Linked DNA regions of Oryctolagus cuniculus. The protein of the gene in region 4 binds, or shares a complex with, the protein of the main gene of each other region. Links are inferred from orthologs where the notes say so. Each region holds a gene or a part of one and is shown on either strand. Other genes may lie near its edges. The genes, in order: RAMP2, GNB1, RAMP1 and CALCR.

Region 1 (4,907 bases), on a different chromosome or scaffold from region 4:
AAGTGAATAATTTTTTTTTTTTTTAAGAAAAGGACAGCTGTCTGGAGACCGATCCATTCATGGAAATACAGTAAAAATTCTGTCAGTGAAAACTGAAAATATCCTTAGCAATCCCAGAAAGAGATGTGTCTGGTGAGGCAGACACTCGTAGACAGACATGCCCCGGGAAATGGACACGCACGTACTCAAGGACACATATCTCAGCAAGGAGGCACATCCCAGAGACGGGGGATGCCACAAAGAATCAGCGATACTAAGGAGCAATTCTCCATGGAGAATGAAGCTGTTGCAGATGCTGTTGGTGGCCTGACAGGTGCGTCCCAGGGAGGGCTGGAGGTGAAGGTTCCCCCGAGAACCTGGTGTGCATGTGCAGAAGCCGGGAGTTGCAGAGAGGTCAGAGGGTTGATTGGGATGTCTCAGAGGCCCACACACAGGGTGGGGGAGAACCAGAGGATGCTATGGAGAGAACAAATAGTTCTCTGACCCAGGGCCCGGCGGCCTCAGCCCTGAGCTGCTTCCAGGTCACACACATCTTTTGAGTCTTGGCTTTAGTGGACACCAGGGGGCAGTGTGTGGCCACCATGTAGGCCACACCCCATCCAGGACAATGTAGGATGAGGGCCAGGGACCTAGTGGGAAGGGGTGGACCCTGCCGAGGACGTCCCCACTGCCTCTGCCCTCCGTTCTGAGGTCTCAGCGATAGATTCCTGGTGCTTAGGTCCGGGTTCCTCTTCCCAAGCCTTCAGAATAAACAGGCATGCAGGGACGAGTCAGGACCGCCCGGGGTGGGGGGCTGCCTCCCTGGCTGCAGGAGTCATGGCAGATTTCTCCCTTGCCCCTCCTCCTGCATCGCCCCCCGCTGCCGTGCAGACCGGAAGGGAGTCTTTTCCTGCTTGTTTCCTGGTGCTGGGTTTGGAGCGAGGCAGGAAAGGCCTTGCCCTGGGAGGAAGGAGTATGGGGCAGGGCGTTCATCCAGGGTGGGGGCGGGATGGGGGGGTGAACAGAGCCATGAAGCCCTCCGACTCGCCCAGTTCTGCGGCCTGCTGTGGGGGTGGCAGAGGCTCCGGGAAGCGAACAGGCCCCGCTAGGATGGGAAGGGGGACATTGTACCCAAAAGAAGTTTTTATTTAGATTCAGAACTTGTGCCATGGCCCCACCCGACTTCCATCTCCATCTACCGGGGACCTGCAGGGGCTGGGACCGAGGGAAGAGGGTGGGGAGGGGGGGAGAGGGCGAGAGCTGGCAGGGCATGGGGAAGGCTGTGCCACCCTAGCCCTGGGCCTCGCTGTCTTTACTCCTCCACACCACCAGCGTGACGAGGAAGGGGATGAGGCAGATGGGAGCTATGATCATGGCCAACAGCACGTCCTCCGGGGGGTCGGAGAAGGTGGGCTGCACCAGGGAGCAGTTGGCGAAGTGGATCTGGTGAGTCTCGAAGATGATCCTCTCTGCCCAGGGGTTGGGGAAGCCCAGGCCGAACTCCTCGGCGTTCTGCTCCAAGCAGTCTCGCAGCTCGCTGTAAGGCCTGGGGGCAGGGAGGGCTTGCGTGAAGGAGAGGCAGGCCCACCCAGCAGCAAAGTCCAACCCCCCACCCCCGCGCGCCTGGGCCGCCCTCCAGGAGGGCCCCTACCTGCTAATCACGGCCCAATCGCACCAATCCTTTTCGATAGAGTCCATGTAAACCTTATAGTCGTTCCAACAAAGTAGGACGTTTGTCTCGTAGTTCTCCTCCCCCGTCCTCCCTGTGGGGACAGACGCTGCTCAGTGACCATGGCCTGCCACCCCTCTGACCCCCACACACCCTCTGGCCCAGGGACTGTCTAGGTGGAACCCACGACCCTTGTTTTCAGACGTGGGAACCCCTCTGCCAGTTCCCCTCGCAGAGCGGCCTGCCTGAGCAATCTGGTGCCTTCCATCTGGGCAGCACTTCTCATCGAAGCCTGACAATCTCCACGTGCACCTTTTCCTGGGCTCTTCCCACCCACCTGTGACGGGGGCCCAGCCGGCAGCAGAGTGGGGCAGCAGGGGGCTGGGGGGTGCCTATGGGAAAGGCACTGACCTGGCTCTCCTCCCGGCCCTAGGCCTCCCTCCCACAGCCCCTGGGCACCCACCTTCTGGCTCCAAGCTGCCCGGGGTGGGAAGAGTCTGGGCCAGGGACTCCTGGGGTTTAAGGACAGCTGTGGGAAGAAGCGGGAGAGGAGGGTGGAGAGGTGGTGAAGCAGGCAGTGGCGCCTGCGGGGGAGGGGCATGTAGGCTGCGACCCCTGGAGATCCAGGCGCCGGTTTAAGAGAAAGAGGAGCCGTCTGTGCATCCGAGGGATGCCCCCGCGGGATGCCTCCGCGCCTGGAAAGGAGGGGTGGCACGAGCTCCTGCCCACGCACAACCAGGCCCAGGCGCGCGTACGCACACCCCCCTCACCAGCCCAGCCCTCCAGGACTGTGTCCGCGGGCCCCTGCCCTCACCCCGGCTTTCCCCGAGCAAGGAGCAGAGTTCGTGCTGTGGCCGCCCCGAGGTGGGGCCGGGGACCGTCCGCAGGACGCACTGCTCACCCCGCAGAGCTCGCGTCCGCCTCGGCCGTCCAGCCCCCTCCCCTCCCTAGCCTTCCGCGCCTCCCGCGGGGCCCCGGGGCGCCGCGCTCACCGCCCAGCAGCAAGAGGAGGAGGCGGAGCGCCGCGGGCCGCCCGGCGCGGGTCGCAGGGAGTCGCGGGCCGCCAGCTGCGCGCTCCGCGCGGAGCGAGGCCATCGCGCGGCGAGGCGAGGAGGGGCGGCGGCGTTGAGCCGGGCCCGGGCGGGGGCGCCTATATCCCCGGCCCGAGCCGCAGGAAGCCGCGCCGCTTCCTCGGAGGGGCTGGGACGGCTGCGGCCACGTGGGGGGCGGAGGCGACGCCCGGGGCCCGCGGGCTGCAGGGGGAGTCGCTGCCGCACCCGCGCCGGGAGCCCGCGGCTCCCTCCTCCTCGCCCGTGTTGGCCCACGCTCCCTCCCGCTCACCCCGCGGGGCTGGACAGCTCCCCTCGTAACCCCACGCCCGAGATCCGGTGCTCGGGCTCAGCTGCGAGGCGCCGGGGACTCGCCGGGGTCTACTGGCAGGGGCTCCTGGGCCCTGGTCTCCGGCTCTCTTCGGGGGCAGGCGGTGGGGTCGTCTGGGAAGAGGGAGGGTCTGGGAGCTGCAAGGGCCTCGCGGAGCCGCCTTGGGACTGGGACTGGGGCTGCTGTGGGCCGTGGGGGAAGGGGCACCTGGAGCTAAGCCCTGCAGCTCAGAGTTCCTCTGCCCTGGAAACTCCCACCCGCTGATGTCAGCCCGTCCGCCAGACCGGGGAGGAGACAGGGCCAGGGGAGTGCACGCGAGAGGGGAAATCCAAGTCTGGTGCCTTCCTTGGAAGCATTTGCTGGGTCCTAGATCCCCAAATCTGACGGTGGGGGCGGGGGCGAGTACCTCCCCAGAAAGAAGGTGCCCGCAGCCCTCCAGACCCAGGTCGTAGGGAAGAGGGGAGACGTTCAGAACTTCCCGTGGGTGATGTCATGTACCAAGCGTGTCCATTCTTATCACCATCGTACAGGGAAAGAACCCAGGACTTGAATCCAGAGGCTCTGGGGTCCTTATTCTGTCTTCCTACTCCCCAGCTATATGGCCTCGAAGGACACATTTCGCTCTGTGGTCTCCTGTGAGAAATGGGGGCAGTCCCTTCCTCCGCTGTGGTGTGGACAGATGTGTGTCCTTGGTGCCCGGCCTAAGGCCACTGCTGGTCCACAGCAAGGCTGCGCCTGGACCCCAGGCGCCCTCACTGCTGCCACATCACAGCCGCCCCTGTGTCCTGGAACCGGACTTCATTAGCCTGGGGCAGCCGACGAGCTCAGGAGCTGGTTTGGCCATGAGGTTCCACTCCCAGACGCACAGCTGTCGGCACCAAACTTTTCTAATTACTCCCAGACGCTGACCCTTGGAACCAGTGGCTGCTGTTGTCCCAGTTTACTGATTCCTGCCCACCACAATTTCTCTTTCATGATCCCTCTTAAAATCCTCATTTCGGGATCCCAGGCTTTGGGGATCATGGCCATAGATAATCTAAAGTTTTCTTTTACAGCTAGAATTAAGACGTTAAGTTAGCAGGGCTGGCGCCGGCATCCCATATGGGCGCCAGGTTCTAGTCCCATCTGCTCCTCTTCTAGTCCGGCTTTCTGCTGTGGCCCAGGAGTGCAGTGGAGGATGACCCAAGTGCTTGGGCCCCTGCACCCGCACAGGAAACCAGGAGGAAGCACCTGGCTCCTGGCTTTGGATTGGCACAGTGCCGGCCTCAGTGGCCATTTGGGGGGTGAACTGTCTCTCACTGTCTATAACTCTGCCTGTCTAATTAAAAAAAAAAAAAAAAAAAAAGCTAAGTTAGCAAGGGACACAATGGGACAGAGGAGGTGGCCCAAAGCACTCCCGGCAAGAGTCATTTTTGCAATGGTGCAGCCTCGATGTCACTCCCAGGCTGGCACCAAATCTGTCCCTTTTGTCCTATCTGGGGTCACCCTTTCCCAGAAGGAAGCAGGGGACTTCTGGGTGATAAGACAAGAGGAGGCAGCAAGGAGGGGCAGAAAGCAAAACAAGCCATTTCTGCAGGGCGGGGTCAGGAGCCCACAGCCCCACTGTGGGTTAGGATTGAGCTGAGCGTGGGGTCCTGATGAAAGATGGCTGAAGCGCATACTGGGCTTTAAGCAGGGCAGTGATGGTGTCCTGGATGGCAGGATTTGGAAGGCAGCTCCTGCCTCTGTCTTGCCATGTAGCCTTGGCAGCCGGCTTTGACTCTCCGGAGCTGATCATTCTCACATGGAGACTGACCTTAGAGTCAGAAAGGGAACTGTAGGTAACCTGGTTGGCAGTGTTGCTGTCCGCAGGGCTGGGGTTCGGTCTGATCATGATGAG
Region 2 (4,888 bases), on a different chromosome or scaffold from region 4:
TTGTTCTCCAGCCTTTACACTCCAAAGCACTTCCACGAAAAAGAGAAAGCCAAGCAGAAAATTCCACTCTGACAACTCAAGGAGGAAAAAGCTGCTTCTCAAAGGCAGGCATGTCAAGAATCGCATGTCAGACTTCGAAGAGCAGGCTACAGTCCACAAATCAAAAGCACCTTCTTTATTTGGGAAGAAAACGTACGAGATGGACTTGGGAACCTCTAAAACAACAGGAAAAGAGAGCTTAACAGATGTGGCCCACAGGGAAGGCACACAGCCCAAGGCAGGTGTGGGCAGAGGCAGGGTGGAGGCAGAGCAGAGGGTGAGCAGGGGACAGGGGAGTGGACGGGAGGTTAAGAATCCCAGGAAGAGGAAGAACAGGAGCCTCGAGGGGCTGTGCCTGGGACAATGAACACACCACAGAGAGGCACAAAGACCGGGTGAGGGGTGATGGCCGCAGCAAACACACACACCCATGCACCTGCTGGGGGCCCCAACCACAGAAACCCAGGCACAGCACCACCCCACAGGCTGCTGCTCTCAGGCTCTCTCTCTGGGCCTCCCGCAGCCCGGAGCAGGCGCTGAAATCACAGGAGGGCCAGCAGCCACCAGAACAGGCCGCGCAGTGCAGAACACAGGGACAGAGGAAGGCCACTTCCCAAGGCCACGGCAGAGCACAGCGGGGCGGAGGGAAGGTGGGGTTTTCCAGGGAGGAGAACCTGAGCCACACAAGCCAGCCTGGAGCGGAGAGGAAACAGCAGAGTGGAGTGGGCCAGGTGAGCGCAGACCCGCGCACAGGCCACGCCTGGCCTGCTCATCTGACTCCTCCTCCTCGTGTTGCTCGCTACAAAGTACAGCAAATGAGTCCGGGCGACCTTCCCAGACAAGAGAGCCTCGGTGACGTAGCCGGCACGGGCTGCCGCCGTGGCCTGTGCCTACCTGGAGTCCGTGCCCCAGTGCATGGCGTAAATCTTCGCCAGGTGCCCCCTCAGCGTTCTCCTGGTGCGCATCTGGATCCTCCCCACCGGGTCGATGTTGTTTGTGATCTTAAACACGAAGGTTCCTGAGGTTAACATCTGTGACCACACGATCTTCCCAGAGCCCTCCTCCTCACCCACCCAGCAGGGCCCAGCCATCCTCCAGCTCTTCAGGGGCACCAGGGCCCTCGGGACTCTGAACAGGGCTGCCGTTTCCACGGGGCGTGAGGACACACCTGTCCCCCTGGCGTGCACACACACGGCAGCCCGGCTCCGCCTCTGTCTCAGGGCCCGGGGCCACCACGGGCACAGCCTCCAGCTCCGCCCATCTGTCTCAGGGCCCGGGGCCACCACGGGCACAGCCTCCAGCAGCTAGTGCTCTGCTCCTACCTCAGGCCACGTGTGGGCCTGGACAACACTCAGCATCGGTGTCTGCACGCCAGCACCCACCCCACAGGGCAGACACCGACAGCAATGCCTCCAGGTTGGCAAATGGGCAAAGCACACCCAACAATGAGTCTTAAAAAATGGACAGTCCACAGTGCGCCCGAGAACTGACAGCTGTGATTCTACGCTGCAAGAATTCCTTCTTACAGCGCATCCCCTTCAGTGTCTGGATCGCCTCATGAACCAAGTCACCTGCAGAGGGTGAATCTAACTTTTCTTTCACTATTCTGTCCGATTCTTTAACTTTTTAAAACTCTGTTACAGTGCCCACTCAGGGCATGCTGTGCAGCCCTCACCACTGCTCGCCTCCCCACCCACCCAGCGGCCACCTCCTCCTCTCGCCCCCACGATCCCTGCAGCCACCAATCTCCTGTCTTTAACTTAACCATTCTGGGTATTTCATACACACAGAGCTACACGTGGCTGCATTCCCTTTCACGGCTGAGTAATATCCCACCGTGCAAACACACCACCACACGTTTGTACGCTCATCCACTTATGGAGAGCTGGATGGTCTCCTCCCTTGGCTGTGTGAGCGGCGATATGAACACTGTACAGCCATCCTCCTTTAACTGGTTTCGCTATGCATGGCTCAGTTTCCTGTGGTCAATCGCAGTCTGAAACTATTACATAGGACATTTCAGATACGGACAATTCCTAAGTTTAAGTTGTGAGCCGTCTGAGCAGGAGGATGACATCCACTCCGGCCTGCTGGTCCTGTCTGGGGTGTGGTCAGCCCTCGGCCCGTGGGACCGCGCTGTGCCCACTGTGGTCACCCAAGCTGCGTCCCAGCCCCGTGTCGTCTGCCTCACTGCATCTCCTCGCACAGGCGTTGTTGTCACAAGTGTGAGTACAGGAAGATTAATTTTTTGAGACAGATCATATGCACAGATTTCCTGCAGTGTTGTTTTTATGATATTCCATTATTAGTCCGCAGCGATGCCCTCTGTAGGGTCTGTGTACACGAGGCTTCAGACACCCACGGGTTTCGGTGTGCGTATCCTACTGAACACCCGCTTGAACGCCGGCTTTTGATCCTTTTGGGCACACAAGGAGCCATGGAGCTGCCGTTCAAGTGTCTGGGGAGCTGTCAGGCCGGCCTGCGGAGTCCAGTTCTTGGACCGACTGGCCACGAAGGCAGCGACACGCCGCCTGACTGAGACAGCAGTCTTCTGCCCTGGCAGGGAGCACTACGCGGGCTGAAGAGACGACGCGAACACAGAACCCCTGTCTCCTCCCACGTCTGGACGGCTCCGCAAGACAGTGCCCCGCAGTGGTCTGGCAGCTGCACGGGCAGAGCTCACTGCGGAGGGCCCAGGCTCACACCGGCTCTTACCTGAGAGAGCGTTGCATCTGCACATGCTTTCCTAGCATCCTAGGAAGCAACACAAGAGAGGTGAGCGGTGTCCAGGCAGGGGCCACCTGGGGCCTCACAGCGTCACTGTGGAAGGAAAGCACCCCCCCCCCAACACCCACCATCCACCGCACTCGGCCACTCACACACAGCGACCGTGGAACCCGGCACGGGGACGGCACCAGGGCAGGGCCCCTGGGCGCGGGGCTGCCCTGGCCTTCGGCGCTTCTGAGCAACCACGCTGGCTCAGCGCCTGCACAGCTGACCCAGGGAGGACGGGAGGCTGGCGCCCAGGGAGAGCGGTCCAGCAAGGACCTAATGACCAGCCCAAAAATCTCTTCGGGACAATAATTACTTTGTTGGATTTAAATTTCACAGAAAAGAGCAAGGCGTCTGATCAGACTGCAGATTCAGATGAAACCTTCTGACTTCTTCCTGGCTCTATCTGCTTTCTTATCTACGAAACGACGAAATGCAGGTACACTCTGCGGAAGGACACGCCATCACTAACATCAAGTGAACAAGGAACTAGACAAGTGTGGAATCTTAAATGAACATATATTTTTATAAATAGGGAGATATAGGGAGCTGGCGCTATGGTGTAGCAGGTAAAGCCACCACCTGCAGTGTCAGATCCCACGTAGACGTGGGTTTGAGTTCTGGCTGTTCGGCTGTTCCACTCCCGATCCAGCTCTCTGCTGGGCCCCTGCACCCATGTGGGAGACCTGGAAGAAGCTCCTGGCTCCTGGCTTTGCATCAGCCCAGCTTCGGCCGTTGGAGCCATTTGGGGAGTGAATCAGCGGATAGAAGACCTCTCTCTCTCTCTCTCTGCCTCTTGTAACCCTGCCTTTCACATAAATAAATAAATCTTAAAAAATAAAAATAAAAAAGCAATATGTAAAAGAGAACTTCAAAAATCAACAGAAAAATGGAACTGAAAGATAAGCTAATTTGGGCACAATATTTTGAAACCCAGGCGTGATTTTATAGTACATATATTCTATGAATTTCCTGAAGACCTCTGTACACTAGATGCAGTAAAATGAGAACACAGCTTTAAAGGCTCACAACAGGAGTGTGGGCAGCCCCTCAGAGGCACTCAGGGCGATGTCCAGTAAGACACAGGTCTCCATGCTGCTGTGAGCTGACACTGCAGCTGGGTGTTCCCAGGAGATCCGATTTTAGGGGCAAACTTCCCTACTGTAAATTTTTATTTTATGAAGCCAGTGGGGATATCTGTGAATTAATAATATAAAGAAACTATTGGCCGGCGCTGTGGCTCACTTGGCTAATCCTCCACCTGCGGCGCCGGCACCCCGGGTTCTAGTCCCGGTCGGGGCGCCAGATTCTGTCCCAGTTGCTCCTCTTCCAGTCCAGCTCTCTGCTGTGGCCCGGGAAGGCAGTGGAGGTTGCCCAAGTGTTTGGGCCCTGCACCCGCATGGGAAACCAGGAGGAAGCACCTGGGTCCCGGCTTCGGATCGGCGCAGCGCCGGCCACAGCAGCCATTTAGGGGGTGAACCAACGGAAGGAAGACCTTTCTCTCTGTCTCTCTCTCTCTCTCTCACTGTCTAACTCTGCCTGTCAAAAAAAAAAAAAAAAAAAAAGTCCAAACCACACTAGAGTTTAAGACAGCACCTTCAGAGTCAACACAAATGGCTGCCTCAGTGGGTGCCCGTCGTGGTGCGGGGGTCAGACGCTGTGTGGGCCCACGTCCCACAGCCAGCTGCCAGGTCAAGTCTCATATCCTGCTCCTGACCAGCTCCCTGCTAGCACGCCTGGGAGGCAGACAATCGCCAAGAACGTAGGGCCCTGCCCCCCACGCGGGAAACCCAGATGGAGCTCCCAGCCGCAGTCTGGCCAAGCCCTGTGGGGAAGCTCTGCTGCTCGGCTTTTTTTTTTTTTTTTTCCTAAGATTTATCGATTTTATTCCAAAGGCAAAGTTACAGAGAGAGAGGAAGAGACACAGAAACTGAGAGATTTCCAACTGCTGGTTCACTCTCCAAATGGTCGCAACGGCCAGAGCTGGGCCAACCCAAAGCCAGGAGCCAGGAGCTTCTTCTGGGTCTCCCACGTGGGTGCAGGGGCCCAAGCGCTTGGGGGCCATCTTCCACTGCTG
Region 3 (5,645 bases), on a different chromosome or scaffold from region 4:
CAGTCAGCACTGTGTGTGTGTAGCCACCATGTGCACAGTCAGCACTGTGTGTGTGTAGCCACCACGTGCACAGTCAGCACTGTGTGTAGCCACCATGTGCACAGTCAGTACTGTGTGTGTGTAGCCACCACGTGCACGGTGAGCACTGTGTGTGTAGCTACCACGTGCACAGTCAGCACTGTGTGTGTGTAGCCACCATGTGCACAGTGAGACCTGTGTGTGTAGCCACCACGTGCACAGTGAGACACTGTGTGTGTAGCTACCATGTGCACAGTGAGACGCTGTGTGTAGCTACCATGCGCACAGTGAGACGCTGGGCTGTGTGTAGCCACCACGTGCACAGTCAGCACTGTGTGTGTAGCCACCACGTGCACAGTGAGACACTGTGTGTAGCCACCACGTGTGTGTGTAGCCACCATGTGCACAGTCAGCACTGTGTGTGTAGCCACCATGTGCACAGTCAGCACTGTGTGTGTAGCCACCACGTGCACAGTCAGCACTGTGTGTGTAGCCACCACGTGCACAGTCAGCACTGTGTGTGTAGCCACGTGTACAGTGAACACTGTGTAGCTACCACGTGCACAGCCAGCACTGGGCCGTTCTACAGCGGAGCCACTGTTGGCCCTGATGCGCTGTAGGTGGGGGCCCCCGGAGGAATGGATCCCCATGCTTCCAGCTGCCAACCAGAAATAACACACAAATTGAACAGAGTCTCACCGGGTGGGGTCTTCAACTCGGGGTAAACAGTCTGCTCCGCCTTGCCCCTCGGAGCAGCGCAGACCCTCGGTAGTACTGGCTACCTCGTCCCGGGCCGGGCACAGACGTGAAAGGACAGGAAGTGGCGCAGGGCTCTGGGTCACCTCAGCATTCTCCAGAGAGCGTGAGCTTCCAGGCTCCAGCGTGAACCTGACAAGGGAGCCTGGCCCTGTGAGGAGCCCGTGCCTGTCCAGGGGCCCCCACGCCTCCTGCAGTTACCCTTGGAGAAGTTCCTGGGAGGAATCCAGGTGCAGCCGCAGGGCGAGCAGACGGGGCCCAGGGGAGGGGCAGCTGGGTGTGGACGGGGTCTGAGCCAGGACGAGGTCGCCTCCACTCACATCACCTAGCGTAACTCAGGTGGACCTGTCCTCGGGCCACACGGGCCGTGTTCACGCCCTCTGGCCATGGCGTGGTCTCTGGACCCCAGGCCTGTGCTGTAGCCTGTGGTCTCTTCAGGGATTCCCCCCCCCCCAGTCCTCAAGACCAGGGGGTGCAGCTTGTCGCGAACGTGCCTTTGTGTCCTTACTCCACGGCGGAGGGCAGTGCCCCCGTGCTGGACGGTCCCTGCGGCACAGCAGTCCCCCACTGGATGCACCAGCTGAGGATGTGGGCCTACCTGGTGGGATGTGCCCCAGGGCTCAGGCGGAGGGGCTGCTCAGGTCGGGAACGGGTGCCCTCCACCACCGTCGCCCCCAGGAGACTTGGGGCCCCCGGGCACACGCAGGCGTGCCCACCCCCAGGGAGTGCCCGCCCTGCCAACCTGGGCTCAGAGGGGACCGAGGGCCGCCTCGCTGTGCGCTGCTCTGAGCGCCCGGCAGGTGGCAGCAGCCCCTCGGCGGAGGAGCGGGGTCGGTCAGCCATCCCCTGCCCCGCGCCGGCTGACCCACGGAGACGGCGGGCATTGCACTGGAAGCTGTGACATTAACCAGTGGCCGCGAAGGAACGCTAACTCGCTTTCACAGGGTGTTGGGGAAGGAGCCACCGCTAAGCCAGCGGTGAATGCGGGGTTGAGGTCTCCCGCACTGCCCGCCTCTCAGCCCTGCTTGCAAAGGGCTGCGCGGGTGACCGCCACCCGGGTGGGTTCACGCTCGCGCCGGCCACCACCAAGCGAGGCGTTACCTCTCTACTGGAGGCCCTGGTCCCTGCGTCACCCTCAGCGGCAGGTGCAACCCCGGCCCCCCCAGCCCCTTGAAGAGCGCTCCCTGTTCCCTAGGGCCCAGGGCCTCTGCGAGGGCGCGCCCCTCCGCACCCCGCAGCTCCGGCTTCTTGTGCGCGGGGCTCGGCCAGCGCCAAGGCTGCTGCTGCCCCCGGGCGCCCCGTGCCCGCACCTGGAGGGGCAGGGAGCGCCTGACTGCGGGCAAGAGTGACCAGACCCTGCGAGGGGAGGGCGGCGAGGTGCCCGGAGGGTTCTGGAAGCGCACTGCCCCCCGCCCCGCCACCCAGGTTTCCCGATTGTTAATTTGGCGAACTTTTCCGGAAGGCGGCAGCGTTTTCCTGGTTCTGGGCGACTTCCACCCGGCAGGTGCTGCCCGCTCCGGCACCCACCCCGAGTCGGGCCGCGCGGCCGCCGCTCCCGCCCCGCGCTCCCGCCCCCGGCGGCGTCTTCCCGGGGCGGGCGCCGCGGCGGGCTCAGGACTCGGCGGGGCGCGCCGCGGGCGGACTCGGCTCGGCTCGCTGCGCGCCATGGCCCCGGACCTGCGTGGCCTCCCGCAGCGCGGCCTCTGGCTGCTTTTGGGTGAGTAGGGGCCGGGGTCGCGGGCCGGCCCGGCTCCCCCGCGTCGAGGGCGGAGGAGGGGGTCGCACGCCGCGAGCACGCCGGCTCAGGCTCGCGAACGCCGGCCGCCGCCTCGCCACGCGGGGCCCGCGGCGGAGGTCCCCCAAGCCGGGCCGTCCCGGGGTGCGGGGCAAGGAGACGGGCGGGGCAGGCGGCTGGGCAGGGGTCTGCGCCCTCCCGGCGGGGGTGGGGGTGGGGTGGAGGAGGCTGAAGGGCAGCTGCCACTTGGCCCCGCACGCTGGGGAGCGCCCCTGCTCCCCACCCCCACCCTCCGCGCAGGCTCCCTGGGGCTCGGGTGTGAGCACCTTGCAGACTGAGTGAGGGCCACGGCTGTTTGGAAATTAGTAAAAACCGGTCATCTGACTGTCACATGCCGCTGTTTCTGATTTGCTAAGCGGTGTCCCCGCTGAAGCCAGGCCAGCCGCCTGTCCTCTGGAGGCAGAGCCACGACTTGGTGTTCGCTCCCTGACTCGGGCGGAGACCCCCGGTGCGGTGGGGTGGCCGGGCTTGGAGAGGCTGCGGGAACCTGCGGGGATGGGGCGAGGGATCGTCTTCCCTCCGCCGGGTGTCCTGATGCACACATGCAGAGCTCCCAGCTGTTCGAGCTGGTGGATGTGTCCCCTTCCGTGTGTTCCTCTTACGGACTGGACGGCACCGGCTACTCCGTCCAGGGCTCCCTCCCCAGAGCTGTGATGTTGCTGTGGGCGCCTGCTGTGCCGCTGGAGCCTGGCGTGGGAGGAGGGGGCCTGCCCGCCCTGCTCTAGCTGAGCCCCTGGGGGCAGGAGAGGCTGCCCAGGCCAGGAGGAGCCGCCGGCCGTAACCAAAGCCTGCCCCGGCTTCCGTGTGGCCATCTCAACGCCGGCCTTGGCACTTGAGCGCTTCTGCCGAAGTCACAGGAGAAGGAGATCTTGTAGTGATCCCGTCCTCCGTCGGCCTAGACGTGGAGTCGGCCGTTTTAGTGCCCTCGGAAGCCAGCGTAGCTCTGTTAGCAAGGCAGAGAATGAGTTGTGTGGTTTTTACTTAAACGCGTAAATGTCCTTTGCTGGTGTCCGGAGGCGGTGCCCTCTATGGCTGGTACAAAGAAAGCCCTGTGTTGGGATCACACAGACTTTCCCTGGTGACCAGAGAGCGGTTGCGCTCTCCTGCCAGGCCAGAGCCGTCATCGTCACGTCCTGAGTGGCCTGGCCAGTGTCACGTCTCAGAAGAACACACGGAGCTTTGTGAGGTCACCCGTGAACAGATGCACTTGGAACGCGGCTGCACACGCACGCTGTCACCCTCCGGTGCCATAGCACGGCCACATGTCCTTGGAGGTGACCTTGGCTGCCTGGGATGGCGACCCGGCATGGGCCGTGTTGGTCCCCAGCCTTAAGGATTTTATAGCCAAGCTGTTCCTGTCCAGTCTGCTGCCCTTCTGCGTGTCCTCTGTGCCGGGCCCCTCCGTGCTCTGAGAGTCCTGTACACGCGTGTGTTCCTGGAAGGCTGATGGGCTCGTGTGTGGGGAAGACTGTGTGTGACCACCCTGAAGCCATTCCAGGCGGGCTGGGGTCACTCCATCCCGGCCTCGCGTGCGGAGCCTCCCGGACCCTCGGGCGGGGGCCGGGGTTTGTGTGTTTGTGGGTTTTTGGAACGGTTGGGACATTGAAACACACGATCGTGCGACCATGAGGAGAGCTGGAAGTTCCGGGACACCCAGGAGAGGCGGTACGCGACGCCTCCCGTGTCCGGCTGCTCTGCGTCCCGACGCGGTCGCGACCCTGGCGTCCGACCCTGGCGCTTTCTCATTTGCCAGTCAGGTTTGTTTGCCCCTGTGTGTGCAGCTGCAGGGAGAAACTCCCAGAGGTTTGTCTTCTTCCGTGGCTCACGCCAACCAGCATGCGTGTTGTGAGCCTGGACCTGGGGGCGCGCCCCAGTCCCCCGTGTGCACGGTCAGTGGCACCGGTGACACCAGGAGCCAGCGCTCTGGGTGGAATCCTGGCTGTGAGCAGATGGTTGGCCGGGCCTGCTGACTCCCTTCCCCGGAGGGAATGCACCGGTTTCGGGCAGATGCCGGCCAGGGCCACATAGGGCTGGTGCTGGGCCCAGCGCGTGCTGGTGGTCGGCCCTCCCTGCAGTGGCCGCACTGAACACTTCTCTGCTGGGACTCCAGGGAAGTGGTCTCTTCTCCACCGGGCCTGAGGTCTGAGCCCCAGGGGGCCGCCGTTCCTGACCCAGCAACGCTGATGGAGCCGCCCCTACAGGGAGCCCATGGGGGGCGCGTCTCCAATCCCGGGAACCCAGGCTTTAGGGCCTCCTGTCCACCCGGTGCAGGCATGCAAGGCTTGGAGCCCCGGCAAGGGCAGGCGCGGGGGCAGTGGGGACCTGCGGAGGGGGGGGGGGACGCTCTCCAGAAAGCTCAGGGAGGCCCTGCAGAGGAAGGGCCGTGAGAGGGCAGGGGGAGACCAGGCAGAGCCAGGGCAGGGGAGACCAGACAGAGCCAGGCAGGGGGAGACCAGGAGAGCTCGTGCAGGGGGAGACAGGAGAGCCGGGGCAGGGGGAGACCAGGAGGGCCGGGGGCAGGGGGAGACCAGGAGAGCCGGGGCAGGGGGAGACCTGGAGAGCAAGGGCATGCAGAGACCAGGAGAGCCAGTGCAGGGGGAGACCAGGAGAGCGGGGGCACCGGCCCTGTGCCCTGTGCCCCCACGTGGTGCAGAGAAGCTGAGCAGGGACCGGCGAGGGCAGCCTCCACTCTTAGTCTTTAACCACCAATGGTCGTCCATTAACCATTGACAACTGGCCTGAGGCCTACGACCAGTCCCTGAACGCGTGGGCCTTTGGCGTGATGACCCAGACCACAGCAGCCCTCTGCGTGGGAGGGAGCGTGGCAGAGCGTAGAGTGCTGATCCGCGGCTCCTGGCCTCTTCCTGACACGCCACACCCGTGGCTCACACGTGTCATGACCAGCGCAGGACAGCAGCCACGTCAGAGCCAGTCCACGGTGCCCCACTGAGGAAAGCCTGCTCCGGGGAACCATGGACGCTGGCCCAACCATGGTCAGACCTGCTCCAGGTGGGCAGTGGACACAGCGGTCAGACCCACTGCAGAGTAGATACAGCGGTCAGACCTGCTGCAGAGT
Region 4 (5,483 bases):
CTTCTGATTCTAACTCCAAGGGAAGAAAATCCAGTCCCCAGAGTGAAATCATTACTTCTGTAATGGTCATTCTTTACTGGACACAAAATCCTTAAAGACAGAGATATGATGTATTTGTCTATGTTCTTCAGACTTAGAGATGTTTGGCATATAAGAAATAATCAAAATGATTTTTGAATAAATGACATTTAAAAAAGAAAACACATGATACTTACCTAGAACCTACCCAAATGCTTAACAAAGATGAACTCATTCAATGAAACCCTCATTTTACAAAGGGAATGAAGGCAGGCAAGGTTAAATTGCTTGCCCAAATCACACAGCTAGAAAAGGATGGAGCCGGGAATCAAACCCAAGCAGAGTCGTGCAAGAATCTGCACTCTTATGCAGCTTTTACAACAAATGCTGTCTTTAAATTTTAAACAATATGAATGTGCACATCAAAATATTTTACGAGGAAATTGAACTTGGAATAAGAAAACCTGGGTTCAAAGACAGCCTTAATTTCTTTGGCTTGTAGCTTTGAGCAAATTCATTCACCTAATGAGTCCCCAATTTCTTCATATAGAAAATCAGAATGATTGCTTCTGCCTCACAATTGCATTGTGAGTTAAACTGTGTGTGTGTGTGTGTGTGTGTGAAAAGCTAGGACATAATCAGGATATGGAAGTTAGTTTCTCAAGGAGAATGATACTATTTTCCCCCTTCTTCCTTTTCCAAAGGGGATGTTTCCACATTGCTACATCTAGGTCTTAAGCAAAAGGAAATCAAATTCCACTTCATAAAGCATTATTTTTTAGCCTCTTTTAAAGCTAGAGTTCATTTATTAAGGCATTTTCTGGATGACCAGATAATTTTCAAACTCAATAGCTTGTTTGCTGGAAAAAACAACAACAAAATGTTTTTCATGGAATCTGTTACGGATTAAACATCTAACATCAATAAAAGAAGTAAAATCTCTTTCTTCTAATTGCACATCAAGATACACACATATATATTTTTTAAGAATGAAAGATTAAACCAGCAATGTAACAACCGGCATTTGTTTTCACCGAGACCCCCTAACATTGACAGGCGGTGTCAAATCTCATGGAAACCATCTCAGTCAGTGGTTCTCAACCTAGGTTACATACTTTCATCACCTAAAGAAATACGTGAAACTGCAGGCCCTGTCCGTGGATATTCTGATTTAACTAGTTTGGGGGTACAGTTATGAATTTTCTACGGATGGAATTTCTTTCATTGACTCTAATTTGCAGCCCAAGTTGTGATCACAGGTTTAGGTTATCGGTGGTGATAACCTAAGCATCATTGGACTCCTAATTTCATGTTCCTTTTACACAGATAAAAGCCAACATTAGATAATATTTTCATTCACCAACAACAGAGTTGCCACAGCACAACTACAATAATATTGAGTCCTCCTTTTCAACTGTTTAAAGCAATTCCTATCTTTATCCATCCACCGTTATTTTATCTGCAGTCCCCAAACACAGGAAGTAGGTAACAGAAGCCATATTTATATCAGTGAATTTGAGCATCGCAAGACAACTCTGAGGTAATTTATGTGCTCTTGCGCATCAGTTATAATGAAGATCTCATGTTTACTACACTCAGTCATTGGTGTGGTCAATAAATAATCTTAGGACATTTTATAACATGACTGAATATTTTTCTTGGTGGTTTTAATCCCTAAAATTAACTGTAGGTTAGAGGCATTGAAACAAAACAAATCCTGGCTGATGGATGTTTTGAACTCTTTTAAAACACTGAGTAGAAATGAGTGCCCACCAAGAATACTGACTTCAACTGTAACGGTTTTGCAAATGTAGTCATGTTAGTTCTTACAATACCAGTGTAGAAAGCCAGTGATTTCAATGTTTTAAAGCTGAATTCTTTACTGAACACACAGTGGGCTAGCAACAGGCTCTTACAGAGTTTGCTTCATAAATCCTACAACACTAGTTGCATTCCTACTATGTCCTTAATAGCAAGCCAAACAGTCCACATGGATAAAACATTTGCTTTCTTTCATCACATAAGACAAACTTAAACTTGGGCACTCTGCTATTGAAAGGTGAGATTCAGGAGAAGCATGGTCAAACTTGGCTTGATTTTGAACATGCTACTTTCAGTCACCCAACAATGTCAACAAAAAGCCATGGCTTGGTTCAGGGTAACCACAGCCGGGTAGCAGTCAGGTCTCCCCAAGATTAGCAAGTGGAACCATGCTGTCTAATTTAGCTTACGCCGTTTAACATTGGGTAAAAGCTTACAGATAGAATATTTTTTAGGCAGATTTGCTAAATAAAGCTGGTAGGATAGGTTACAAATCTCATCTGATTGTTGATTTTTGTCAATCATTGGGATTTCCTTGGACGTCAAGGAAAATGAATGTTGGGGACAGAGGGATTAATTTGTAGAGCTTGTCTTTCACCCGGCGTGGAAAGAGCATCATGAAAAGGAGCACTCTTTGGAAACTATGCACGCAACATATTTTTCTTAATAGGTGTGAAGAATGGCTGCTATGCATAAATGATTGTTGGAAAGTAATTCTCAGTAAAAGATGACCTAACAAGCAACCCGTTCGCTACTGTACTCCTTTCCAATACCCAGGACCGCCACGGCACATGTTACGGATGCCAGGATTCCGTGTGCTAGTGAACACACAGCTTTTCTGGGAGAAAATTTACAACTTGAAGTCTTGTCATTTTCACACCCAGTAAGTTGGAAAATAACAACTTTCGAGGGAGAACTGGTGACAGCAACGTGGTAAAAGTCCCAAGAAACTGAGAGGACCCCTCAATCCCAAACCGCTAAATCATAACACCCTCCCAGGACACCTGTTTTTCCTTTAATCAAGGCAAACTGAGACCAAGCTGACCCCTCCACGCTCACCTCCAGCCCCACAATCAAACTGCAGCTTTGCAATAAAAAAGCAAGGTGCCTCGCACCTCCACGGCCGCCCACCGCTAGGACACCCCAAAGCTCCAAGTCGCGCTCCCCTCCAGACCCTCCTTACCTGGAATTCTCTCAGTGCGCGGCGGGGCACAACCCAGGGGACGCGAAGGGCGTTCTCAGGTGGTGGTAGCAAGTCAGGCACGGGCGCCCATCTCCTGGGCAGGCGGCGGCAGCGCCAGGGCGAGGCGAGGCACTGCTGCGCGCTTCTCTGCTCCCCACGGAGGTCCGCAAGCCAGCGAGCGAGGGGCTGACTTTCCTAGTTTGACGTGAGAGCAAACTGCGTTAGTCCGAGTTCGCCCTCTCCTGCCCCCGCTCTGAGTCCCCGACCCTTTAACGCCGCCCGCAGGGATGGTGCGGAGCCTGCCCAGGCTGCGATCCAGGCTGCCAGGCGGTTTCCCCCGCGCTTGCAGACTCCGGTCCCAAGTCAGCGGGCTCACCTTGCGGGCGCCTGCAGCACGCGCCGGGCTCTGAAGCTGCGCGCAAACTTCTCCCGACTTCAGCGCAGCCCGCCCCGCCCGCCTCCCCACGCAGCCCAGGCGGCGGCGGCTGCAGCGAGGCGCGCCAGCCCCTCCCGGCCCTCCAGCCCCTCCCGGCCCTCCCCTCCGCGCCTCTCCCCTCCCCTCAGTCCCTCCCGGCCCGGGAGAGGGAGGGGCGAGCTGCCGAGCTCTGCGCGCCTCCTCGCCAGCCCCTGCCCCTGCCCCGGCCCCGGCCCGCGATGGGGCTGAGCTCCGCCGCTGCCCGGCCGGGGGCCAGGCGGGGCTCACCCTCGCGTCCTGGGGCCGATAGCGGGGCGCGCACCCACTCTTAGCAGGCGAGGGACCCCCGTGGAGGCCCGAAAGGGGACTGCGGTCCGGGCTGGGAGATTTCCAACTTGTCCCTGGAGACAGCTTTGTGGGCGCCCCGTCCGCTCCCCGGAGGATGCAAATTTCGGAGGGTGGTGAGTTGGCCAAGCAACCCCCGCCGGGAGATAGTGCCACCCCGGCTCCGTCTGCGGCCACCCAGGGGACAGCCCCGGGGCGCTGGAGAAAGTGGGGTGGGGGCGCGGGAGGATGGCCGGCCGAGAGCTGGGGGCAGGAGAGGTCAGAGTTGCGGCTGCAGCGGTCCGACAAACCCGGGAGAGCGTCCGGACTTGGGCGCTGAGGGCTGGGGTGCAGGTTGTTTGGCCAACAGTGCCCTGCGCTTGGGGCGCTACTGGGGGGCACCGTATCTTGGGGTGGGTGAGCGCAGTGGGGACGGCGCTGGAAGCTGGGGGTCTAGGGTGCGGGACTTGGTGTCGGGGGCTGCGACTCCTCCCCCTCTCCCCCCTTTAAGTCCTGGATGCCAGCTGGAGCCCGGGACAATCGGATTCCAGGCAGGGCGCAGCCGGGCAAGTTGGCTCCAAGGACCGGCCGCCCGCCACCTCCTGTAGCCCACGGCGGGGCGCGGCGAGGCAGCAGCCGGCACTTCGTCCCTAACTCTTTTCTAGGGGTGCTGGGGGCTATGGAAGCCGCATCCTCTTTGTCCCGCGAGGTGGCTGCGCACCGTCGAGGTTGCTAATACTGTCCCTCCGCAAAAGGAATCCTAACAGCAACATAACAGGAGCGGGAGAAAGCCGGACGGCAGAGCGGCACGCTTCCCCCAGCGGTCCCAAGATTCCCTTAAGCAGAAAGGGCGGTTGGCAGGCGAGATGGAGGCGTCCCCTGCACCGGGCTGCAGCCTGCACCCGTCCAGCCCAGGGGCCCCTCCCTGGAAAGGCGGTGGCTGAAGGTGACAGTGCTGCCTGCCCGTTTCTACTGTGACCCCACACTCTCCACCCCAGAGGGACCACAAGAATCTCTTTGTGTCTTCCGGGGACCCAGTGGGAGTCGGAGTCCGCAGGCAGATCAGCTCTCCCAGCAGACATTCCGGGAGTTTGTCCTCCTTCCCTGTCCCCTCCAGCCTGGTGACCCAGAGGGATTCGTGTGACTCAGCGAGGATTCAAACCTGAGGCACTGCCACACTGTAGGGAAAGATTGTACAGTCCCTGCCTGCCTGGCTTTCAGTGGCAATGATGTTAACAGGAAGAAATGTGGGAGAGAGGCAGGCTGGCGAAGACACACACACACAGCGCCACATAAACAACATCTGAAGAAACCCTCCACATTCAGGATTTAGAAACACATCTCTGTGCTTTGACATCTGTCCTGGGTTCACTTGTTCTCTGCTTCCCAGCTGCTGCCTACCAGCCAACACCTGATCATGCCTTCCTTTAAACATTCTCTTTGGGAACATTAATTACCTTCTTTTGGTGCAAAGAGCAGAGAATGATTAACATTGTTTGGTCAACAGCTGGGGGCCAAACATGGAGAATTTCTCCCTGTCCTAGCCCAAGTCACTGAAATAGCATCAAAGTAGGAAGATTACTTCCAAGTGGACGGTGCTGCTGCCCTCAGCGCTGCGTGGCAGGGCAGGCACAGTGGAATTTTTCTGCAAGAGCCTTATCCTCGGGCATCCTAGCTACCTGACATTGACAGCCAGGGTTGTGAGAGCAGGGCTCTAAGCTG

The links.
Region 1: the proteins of CALCR (region 4) and RAMP2 are in contact, whole or in part, in a cryo-EM structure (PDB 7TYX), measured with the Homo sapiens proteins. The link is inferred for Oryctolagus cuniculus from reciprocal best matches to the Homo sapiens genes CALCR and RAMP2. Residues at the interface, in NP_001158210.1 of Homo sapiens: Arg45, Lys46, Met48, Met49, Asp50, Gln52, Tyr53, Lys54, Tyr56, Asp57, Met59, Gln60, Trp76, Gly78, Arg126, Phe235, Leu238, Ile242, Thr246, Val250, Glu255, Lys256, Gln257, Arg258, Trp261, Tyr262, Leu264, Leu265, Phe269, Pro273; in NP_005845.2 of Homo sapiens: Trp86, Tyr93, Ser94, Arg97, Asp98, Glu101, Leu109, Pro112, Glu117, Ile120, Phe121, His124, Phe128, Cys131, Pro136, Phe138, Ser139, Asp140, Pro141, Leu146, Met149, Ile150, Pro153, Ile154, Leu156, Ile157, Leu160, Ile161, Leu163, Val164.
Region 2: the proteins of CALCR (region 4) and GNB1 are in contact, whole or in part, in a cryo-EM structure (PDB 8F0K), measured with the Homo sapiens proteins. The link is inferred for Oryctolagus cuniculus from reciprocal best matches to the Homo sapiens genes CALCR and GNB1. Residues at the interface, in NP_001158210.1 of Homo sapiens: Arg174, Ser175, Arg404, Gln408; in NP_001269468.1 of Homo sapiens: Thr47, Arg52, Phe292, Ala309, Gly310, His311, Asp312, Trp339.
Region 3: the proteins of CALCR (region 4) and RAMP1 are in contact, whole or in part, in a cryo-EM structure (PDB 9AUC), measured with the Homo sapiens proteins. The link is inferred for Oryctolagus cuniculus from reciprocal best matches to the Homo sapiens genes CALCR and RAMP1. Residues at the interface, in NP_001158210.1 of Homo sapiens: Arg45, Lys46, Met49, Asp50, Gln52, Tyr53, Tyr56, Asp57, Met59, Gln60, Gln61, Thr75, Trp76, Asp77, Gly78, Asn124, Arg126, Phe235, Leu238, Ile242, Thr246, Val250, Ala251, Gln257, Arg258, Trp261, Tyr262, Leu265, Phe269, Ile276; in NP_005846.1 of Homo sapiens: Trp59, Ile63, Tyr66, Arg67, Ala70, Asp71, Phe83, Trp84, Pro85, Val89, Asp90, Phe93, Leu94, His97, Gly98, Phe101, Ser103, Arg109, Ala110, Val111, Arg112, Asp113, Pro114, Ile118, Leu119, Phe122, Ile123, Pro126, Ile127, Val129.

The regions. Positions count from the first base shown.
Region 1 is NC_091448.1:20,144,951-20,149,857, forward strand, and holds RAMP2 (receptor activity-modifying protein 2), read right to left. Parts: upstream 2,849-4,907; 5' UTR 2,744-2,848; coding exon 2,641-2,743; intron 2,178-2,640; coding exon 2,112-2,177; intron 1,743-2,111; coding exon 1,631-1,742; intron 1,526-1,630; coding exon 1,270-1,525; 3' UTR 1,108-1,269; downstream 1-1,107. UniProt on the Homo sapiens protein: Accessory protein that interacts with and modulates the function of G-protein coupled receptors including calcitonin gene-related peptide type 1 receptor (CALCRL) and calcitonin receptor (CALCR). Required for the transport of CALCRL to the plasma membrane.
Region 2 is NC_091438.1:163,949,467-163,954,354, reverse strand, and holds part of GNB1 (guanine nucleotide-binding protein G(I)/G(S)/G(T) subunit beta-1), read right to left. Parts: intron 2,794-4,888; coding exon 2,755-2,793; intron 1,041-2,754; coding exon 934-1,040; intron 1-933. UniProt on the Homo sapiens protein: Guanine nucleotide-binding proteins (G proteins) are involved as a modulator or transducer in various transmembrane signaling systems.
Region 3 is NC_091434.1:2,452,220-2,457,864, reverse strand, and holds the start of RAMP1 (receptor activity-modifying protein 1), read left to right. Parts: upstream 1-2,010; 5' UTR 2,011-2,439; coding exon 2,440-2,491; intron 2,492-5,645. UniProt on the Homo sapiens protein: Accessory protein that interacts with and modulates the function of G-protein coupled receptors including calcitonin gene-related peptide type 1 receptor (CALCRL) and calcitonin receptor (CALCR). Required for the transport of CALCRL to the plasma membrane.
Region 4 is NC_091447.1:42,220,808-42,226,290, reverse strand, and holds the start of CALCR (calcitonin receptor), read right to left. Parts: upstream 3,481-5,483; 5' UTR 3,399-3,480; intron 3,218-3,398; 5' UTR 3,023-3,217; intron 1-3,022. UniProt on the Homo sapiens protein: G protein-coupled receptor activated by ligand peptides amylin (IAPP), calcitonin (CT/CALCA) and calcitonin gene-related peptide type 1 (CGRP1/CALCA).